Linked DNA regions of Caenorhabditis elegans. The protein of the gene in region 1 purifies or fractionates together with the protein of each later gene. This does not show direct contact. Each region holds a gene or a part of one and is shown in the gene's direction. Other genes may lie near its edges.

Region 1 (4,184 bases):
CACCCTTCATTTTCCTGTCTGCGTCTCTTCTCTACAATTTCCTTAAATAGTTCCCGCCCATTTTTCGGAGAAGCCCTCCCCCGCAGCCTGTGCATTCACTATCAACTTTTCAGTTCAGAACATACCCCACCCATTTTTATGACTCCAATTTTTCCAATTCCTTTCTCTGACTAGTTCGGTTTAGTTTGACATTTTAACTTTCATATTTCTTACAATTTGAATTTGGGTTACTGTATTTTTATTCTACATTAATCCTGGATCGCACCGTAACAAAAAATTGTCATAGGATTTCTGTAACGCTACATTATAATTTTCGTAATTAGTAACAGTACGCCATATCTGTAATTTTTCAAAAAAAAGTATTATTTTCACCTACCGTAATATTTTTTCTGACTAGTTATTTTAGTTTAATATTTAAACTTTGATATTTGTATGCAAACTTTGGGTTACTGTACTTTGTCTATTCTACAGTAATCCTTAGTTTGCATTGTAACCGGATTACTGTAGTGTGTATTTTTCACTTATAGTATTCACTATAGCAATTAGAACTGGTTACGGTACCGTCAAAAAAATTCCTTTTGTAGCTACAGTATTTTTTTGAAAAATCAGTTTCAGTAAACACGCTCCAGCGCTCCATTTTGAAATGGTATTTTTTTCCGGAAAATCTTTGATCAAGATCATAATTAAATTAGGTCATGATCTACGTCGTCGAAGACCAATTGAACTTTAATAATTTAATAATCGGATTAAAATTGAATGAATTTTTTCTGTAAATTGTACACGATCTGTGTCAGACACACATATGTGTGCTTGTGCTTCTTTTTTTTGGAAAATCTTGAACTTAAAGGGTTTAACTTATAGGTTACGGTAGCTACAGTAACGTACTGTAGGTCCTACCACGATTTTTTAGAAATCAAATTTTTTAGATCTTCAAAAAAATATTCATGACAAATTTTTCTTGTAAAAAAATACAGTACCATACTCGAAAGAACCTCGGTGGCCGAGTTTTTCTTCAAAATTTCAAAAATATTATTTCCTAGATAAACACAAAACTCGGCCAGAAATTGCCTGCAGTCCCTTGTTGTGGCCCAGTTTTTTTTTTTCAATTTCTCGGCCGTCTGTGAAAAGATTTTTTTTTTGAAAAAAAAATCAACCTCCGGCAATTTTCTCAATAAATTCACGAGTGCCTATCAATTAAAAATTAAAAACACTCATCCCTTTTATCTAATTTGCGTCATAAAATACGTGCTTCGCGCGTAATTCGCCTGTCTCTTTTTCTCTGAAAACACCACAAAGAACTGTTTCTCCGACGGACAGCACATGACTTCCGATTGTAGTGGGCGGAGCCTATGCAGTCTGTATTAGTGTGCAAAAAGTTTTTAGTCTTTCAACTGTGTTGACCGATACCTATTTTTAGCATCTTAATTGGAAACATTTTCAAATTTTTCGCGATTTTTGTGTAAAAAAAACACGGTACCCGGTCTCGACACAACAGTTTAAAAAAAATTAAATTCAAACAGGTGTGCGCCTTTAACGAGTACTGTAATTTAAAATTTTAGTTGTCGTGGAATTTTTGTGCATTTTTATTGTTGATTTTAAGTTTTTAGAATGAAGAGTTGTATTTTTTACCAAAAAATCGATAAAAAATTCCGCAGCAACAAAATATTGAAATTACAGTACTCCTTAAAGGCGCACACCTTTTCGCATTTAATAAAAATTTGTCGCTTCGAGATCGTACAAAAATCATAAAATTGTGCATTTTGCGGTCTGTAATTTCAAATTTTTGTTGAACATTTGTGTTTTCACGAAGAGCAGCCCAAAAACCCTTCTCCAAAATTCCTATTTCAAAATCTGAGCAAACATGGTCTCGCCCACCCCAAAATGAGATCCCATTTGTCCTAAGATGGGAAAACATGAAAAAAAGATCAAAAATTCAACAGGCTCCGCCCATACTTTTCTATAAATATCCGGCACAATTTCGAATTTTCTGAGAACTCTGTTATGAAATATTCCATTTTTTTGTAATCTTTTTTTTTAATTTTGTCAACCATTGTGACCCATATACATTTTTAAAAACCATCTTTGAAGAAATCTTTTAAAAATTTAAGAATAAAGAATATCTCTCCAGTTGTTTCAAAAAAAAACAATTTTGCGATTCTTCTCTAAAAACTTGTTTCCCTAAAAATACAGTACCCGGTCTCGACACGACAATTTTTCGTCATGTTAAATGAAAAAGCATGTGCGCCTTCAAAGATTACTGTACTTTCAAACCTATGGAACTTTTTTTTCAATTCGTCGCGTCGAGCGAGACCTGCCACCGTGTTTTGTTGTGAAAATATCGAAAATATAGTATTTAAAAAAATTCGAATTGGGTCCCGACACGATCCACGTTTCGAACTGGAACTCCAGGAATCCAGAAGGACTGTGGTAACGTAAAACTTGGGTGGGACCTAACAGTGTTTTTCTTTATTAATTTCCGTTCACCTTTTCTTCTTGAACTTCTCTGTAAATCCTTATACTCCGAAGTTTTCTCTCAAAATACCTAATTTCATTCATATTTTTCCAGTCCCTTCCACAAAAAATGCCTGGGCTCATCGGTTTGGGTCTTCTGATACTTCTCGGATTCCACGTCACCTACAGTACCCAATGCGATTGTAATTCATCCTGTGCAATTTATACGTCACCAGTTCAATGTGTCCGTTGTTGCACACATTATGTGAAACGAAGATCTCTCCCACTTCATCCCGCTCATCGAAAACGGCAGTTTTTGCTCACTGAAAGCACGAAAATCAAGCATCCGATATGGAGACGGCCTGTGGAACCAATGGTAGAAGAGTCATTGCCACGTTTAATTCGTCTTTTACTCAGAAAACCGCTTTAAAATATGGTTTCCCTCATCTTTTTTTGTTGCTCCAAAAATTAAATTAATCTTATTCTATAGTTAGATCTCAAATCTCTTTCTCATCGTTTTCCAATTACGGGTTTTGGAATTTTTGAAAATTCTTAATTTTTCATGCATAATTCTCTTCATTTCATTTCTATGTCTGCTTCTCTTGGATCTTGAATAACAAAATCATTTCAATAAATATAGTCAAATTGTTTATATACAACATACACAAATAATTTACAATAATTCGGTCGAACCGTATTCTCTCCCGTTAAGAATATCATCGATAACTTGGTTGGCTCCGATCGCGAATCCGAAGGCAAGCATTTTTCGATTAATCAAGAGACCCGTGATCTGGAAAAAGAAATCTTGAATTTCAAAAGTTTGACAATGTTAATCTTATTTTCGGGGTGAGACCCAAGACTGTGTTTTGCTTTCCACCAAAAAATTATTTTATTGCAAAAAAATTAATTATTGCAAAAATTGAATTGTACTAAGCTTCATTGCCATCTTTCTTCTATAAATACAAGTGGTTTTTCGAGTTAAAAAACTAAATTTTTCCTGCACAGTGCAAATTTCTAGATAACCCATAATTTTCGTTTGAAAAAACCGTTACTTTTCCGGAAAAATCACATTTTTCAATGATTTCTGACTTAATGTCTTACCGCATATAAAATATTGAGAAGAAAAGTGACGAAAACCGTAGAGGTTATGTAGATATTCCGGAAATTCAAATATTTTCCAATTCTTTTCTGGCTGTTCACAATCAAATCAGTAATCTCTTCGTCTGATAAGTGTTTCTGGAAAAAAAAAATTAAAATGTTTGATTATTTAAAAAAATTTAATTTTCAAATATTTTTGGCAAAATTTTTCCTCCGGTACACGGTCTCCCCACGACAATTTTGTTAAATGTAAAAGGGTGTGCACCTTGAAAAAGTACTGTAGTTTCAAACATTGGAATTTTCATCGACTTTTTAAAATTTATGTGTTTTTACTGTTTTTTCTCTCAATAATTGAATATACTTTAAAGAAAAAAATATGAAAAAAACGAAGAAAATTCCAAAGCCACTGAAGTTTGAAATTACAGTAATCTTTAAAGGTGCACCCAATTTAATTTAACAAAAATTGTCGTGTCAAGACCGGATCGGCGAAAAAATTGCTAAATTTGGCTTGAAGACCTTCAAAAATTCTTTATTTAATATCAAAATCACCTGTTCTTCAATATCATTCATTCGAGCAGTTGAAGTGCTTACTGATAGCCGACCGAGCACAAATAAGGATCGAACAAATACTCGAT
Region 2 (4,695 bases), on another chromosome or scaffold:
TTGTCCGCAAGCTTCTCAGCCACCTGTTCCTCTTTGCTTTGCGGCAGCAGAAGATTCACGTACTCGTCGTCCGCTGGTTTTTTACCGTTGGAGCACTGACTGTCTGGCTTCGATTTATTCTGAAAAAGAGCATGTTGAAGCTTCAGAAGTTTTAAACTCGAAATTTCAGAACTTACCAGGCTCAGCGGCTCGTAGATGCTGTTGTACGGAGTTCTGGAGTTCCCATCGTCCACACTTTCCGCTTGATTTTTACCATAAGGGCACTGACCGTTGTGCTTGCAACATCCATCCGGCTTTGATTTGATCTGAAAAAGATACTGTTAAAGCTTCAAAAGCTCAAACTGAAAAGCTTAAAAAACTTACCAAGTTCAGCGGTTTGTAGAGGCTGTTGTACGGAGTTCGTGAGTTCCCATCGTTCATTATTTGCACCTCTTGATTAGTTGGAACTTTGTTTTACAGAAATATCAAACAATGATTGAAAAATCCACAAAATCTCCCTTGTTGTTTTTTCTTCGTTTTACCGAGTTTATTGTGGTTGCAAGAATAACCTTTCGGCCACGTAACAAAAATTGTCTTACTTTTGTGTATATTGTTGTGTTTTTTTTTCAAGTTTAAAAAAAAAAAAAAGCATATTAGACTGTGACAAAGCTTGTATCACGTTCTGCCATTCAACTTATCCCCCGAATATTCATTTGATCTTTGCCTTTCCCCATTCAGTAATCGTGAAGCTGTCGAATTATTGATGGATCTAGCATTTATGAGCAAGCTAAGGATGATTCTCAACACGTGACTAATGACCATGTGAGCCTCTCCATTTTATAGTCTGGCAAATACATACACATACCAAAAACCCAATTATCTATGGGATTGACCAGCAAGTCGGCAAATTGCCGGAATTGAAATTTTCGGCAAATCGGCAAATCGGCAAATTGTGGTTTTGCACATTTTTTTTGAAAATTTCAAAAGTTCAATTTTAATCGGCAAAATTGAACGCAACCTATGAATGTTCCTACATCTATCTTGAAAAAAAAAATCAAAAAGACACAGTTTTAAGTGTTTCCATTTTATAAAAAAACTCCTCTAAAAAGTTCCGGCAAATTGATGTTCGATAAACGGCAAATTGGCAATTTTCCGAAAATCAAAATATCCGGCAAATCGGAAAACCGGCGAATTGCCGATTTGCCGAATTTGCAGCCCATCCCTGTTCCCAAAGCCGTTTGCACGGTTATTTTTGGCCTAATGCCGCATTGAAAAATATCTTCAACATGATTTATTTCAAGATAAATCAATATCAAAAATAATACCCGGAGATCCACTAGTCTTGGACAAACAGTGCTCGAGGATCATTTCTTGCACTCCGGTTATATCAAACGAGAATTCTCATTGACCAGATAAAAATTCCTTTTTTGTGCATTGATCGGCATCATTGAACGTTAACCATGAAAAAGAAAACGATGCGACAGAAAATCAATCAACTGCAAGATCGTCAAAAAATGCGATTGAGTCATCGTAAAAACTGCATGCGTGGTGTCACAAATGCATGGTAGCTGTAACTATTTTTTTGAAGCTTCTGAACAAGAAATGAAAATCCATAATTAAACGTGTCATTTTATAATTTAATCGACACAGCAGCAACCACACATTTCGTAATGTGTCTCTCCACCTATCATTATTACTTTTCGTCCCCTTGCTTTTGCACTTACATCGACCATTTCTCATTTTCTCTCTCCACTGGCGCAACACTATTTCCCTATTTCTTCATAGTTCTTCTTGGCCTCGCCGCTGACCACTATTGTCCTTCTCTTCTCCCCGTAGTATACATAACGCCCGTATATCTTTGCGTTCCTACGTTCTACGATTTTATAGTTAATTTTACTATTCTGAACCTAAATTTCTTTCAATTTTCAGAGAAAAAAAACCATGCGTGAGGTAATCTCCATTCACGTTGGACAGGCGGGAGTTCAAATTGGAAATGCTTGCTGGGAACTATACTGTCTCGAGCACGGAATTCAACCCGATGGAACTATGCCTTCTGAGCAACAAAATGAGGGTGGATCCTTCACCACGTTCTTCTCAGATACTGGAAATGGACGCTATGTTCCGAGATCTATTTTTGTGGATCTTGAGCCAACAGTCGTCGACGAGATCCGCACTGGAAACTACAAGAAGCTGTTCCATCCAGAACAAATGATCACTGGGAAGGAAGACGCTGCTAATAACTATGCTCGTGGTCACTACACCGTTGGCAAGGAGCTCATCGACACTACTCTTGACAGAATCCGTCGTCTCGCCGACAACTGTAGTGGTCTTCAAGGATTCTTTGTCTTCCACTCCTTCGGTGGAGGTACTGGATCCGGATTCACCTCACTGCTGATGGAACGTTTGTCGGTTGACTACGGAAAGAAGTCGAAACTAGAGTTTTCAATCTATCCAGCTCCACAAGTTTCCACTGCAGTCGTTGAGCCATACAACTCGATCCTTACTACTCATACTACTTTGGAGCACTCCGATTGTGCATTCATGGTTGATAACGAGGCGATCTACGACATTTGCAAGCGAAATTTGGATGTTGACCGACCGAGTTACACCAATCTCAACAGAATTATCTCTCAGGTTTCGCAAAATACTTGTTTTAATGTATCCTATGTGTTTCCTTTTCTTTTCAGGTTGTGTCTTCAATCACCGCTTCACTCAGATTTGACGGAGCTCTCAACGTGGATCTCAACGAGTTCCAGACCAACTTGGTGCCATACCCAAGAATTCATTTCCCATTGGCCTCTTACACTCCATTGATCTCTGCCGAGAAGGCATATCACGAGGCTCTGTCTGTCAATGACATCACCAATAGCTGCTTCGAACCAGCAAATCAGATGGTCAAATGTGATCCACGCAACGGAAAGTACATGGCTGTCTGTCTTCTGTACCGCGGAGATGTTGTGCCGAAGGATGTGAACACTGCAATTACTGCCATCAAAACCAAGAGATCAGTTCAATTTGTGGATTGGTGCCCAACTGGGTTCAAGGTTGGAATCAACTACCAACCACCAACTGTGGTTCCAGGAGGTGATCTTGCCAAGGTGCCACGCGCCGTGTGCATGCTCTCCAACACTACGGCTATCGCCGAGGCCTGGTCCCGCCTGGACTACAAGTTTGACTTGATGTACGCCAAGCGCGCCTTTGTTCACTGGTAAGATTCGAGTTGTTTGAAACACAAAATATCGATTATTTGCAGGTACGTCGGAGAAGGAATGGAAGAGGGAGAGTTCACTGAGGCTCGTGAAGACTTGGCAGCTCTCGAGAAGGACTACGAAGAGGTCGGAGCTGATTCCAACGAGGGATTGGAAGAAGACGGAGAAGAGTATTGAAATGTTCACTGTTAAATACTTATGTATCATAAAGTGTTTAAATTATTAACAATTGCGAGTTTGATTGGAGGAGATTTTTTTACAAAGAAAGGGGGAAAATGGCCTATTCCATTCAATCCCAAAATGAGAAGCTTTTGGAATGCCGTTTTTAAATGCTGAAAGAACACAAAATTCGCAATGAAATGGCTACGGGAATTTCTTTACAAGTTATTTTGAAACCAGATATACATTTTCAAAGTTTATAAAATCTACTAATTTTGCATATAAATGGTCAGTTTCATTCCATTTCATAATGTGCTTTAAAAGGTATGGCCGACGTCACACTTTATAGTGTCTTCCTTGTCATTGTGCTGCTCAGCCCGCAGAGTTCCAATCAGTTTTCGGTAAGGCTTATCACTGGAAACTCCTAAAACCATGGGTTTTTTATGTGAACATTGTAGGGGCAAATACCTAAACTTTTCCTTCTTTTGATTTTAGGCTTTCAATGACGTCTGGAAGTGATATTTTTCGTAGTTTCAACACGCTCGGCGGACCAAATAACCTCATAAACTCGCTAAACGGAGTATCTTCAAACTGACATATCTCAAAAAACACACTTCTAGAAAGCAATTGTTCAAACAACAAAATAATCAGAAACATTTTTTCTATTTATTACTTTAATTTTTATTTTAATACACCAGCTATTTGTAGAGTTACACAGAGTCAAAGCCATTTTCCCAGAAATCATGAAAAATTTTGAGAACTCTTTTGTTGTGCCCGTCATAACCCAACGTTCATTGAATTGCAGAAAAAACTTTTCATGAGTTGTATGTAAGAACTATTTCTCTACATTTTATCAGTTTTAAGATTTTTGATATTTTCATGTTCAGCCAAGTTACAGACCGTTTTCTGAAAAAATCCAATTTCGCTCATAAAACTCTTCATATCTAACGTATCGACTTGAAATTTTGAACAATGATCTTTCTTTTGAGGTCTCTACAATGTCCTAAAAAATCTTTCGAAAATGTTGGCTCATCTCCAAAATCGTCCTCCGCTCCAAAATAAGAAATGGGACTTTTGCTTTTCGAAAAATGGGCGAAAAAATTAAATTGCGATTTTTGGGTCGAAAAATATATTTTTAGAAAGCTGAGAACACGCCATTTACGAATTTCATGTTCATTTTAGGTGATTTCTTCTCTGAAACGACCTAAAAATTAAACAAAAAGAACATATTTTTAATTCTCACGTGTAATTATTTGGTAATTTGCTCAGTATTTCAATTGTTTTAATGCAAATTAAAAAATTAAACGTGAGAATTAAAAATATGTTCTTTTTGTTTAATTTTTAGGTC

The links. Proteins that work in one complex are often made in the same cells at the same time.
Region 2: the proteins of nssp-5 (region 1) and tba-4 fractionate together in Caenorhabditis elegans (co-fractionation; one large-scale study listed by BioGRID). This does not show direct contact.

Annotation. Positions count from the first base shown.
Region 1 is NC_003279.8:4,588,297-4,592,480, reverse strand, and holds nssp-5 (uncharacterized protein), read left to right. Parts: upstream 1-2,581; coding exon 2,582-2,881; downstream 2,882-4,184. Other genes in the region: D1007.10 (Gustatory receptor), read right to left, coding at 3,125-3,241, 3,553-3,687, 4,099-4,184.
Region 2 is NC_003280.10:10,916,798-10,921,492, forward strand, and holds tba-4 (Tubulin alpha chain), read left to right. Parts: upstream 1-1,908; 5' UTR 1,909-1,920; coding exon 1,921-2,613; intron 2,614-2,666; coding exon 2,667-3,187; intron 3,188-3,232; coding exon 3,233-3,365; 3' UTR 3,366-3,419; downstream 3,420-4,695. Other genes in the region: F44F4.10 (PARP catalytic domain-containing protein), read right to left, coding at 1-119, 177-305, 364-420.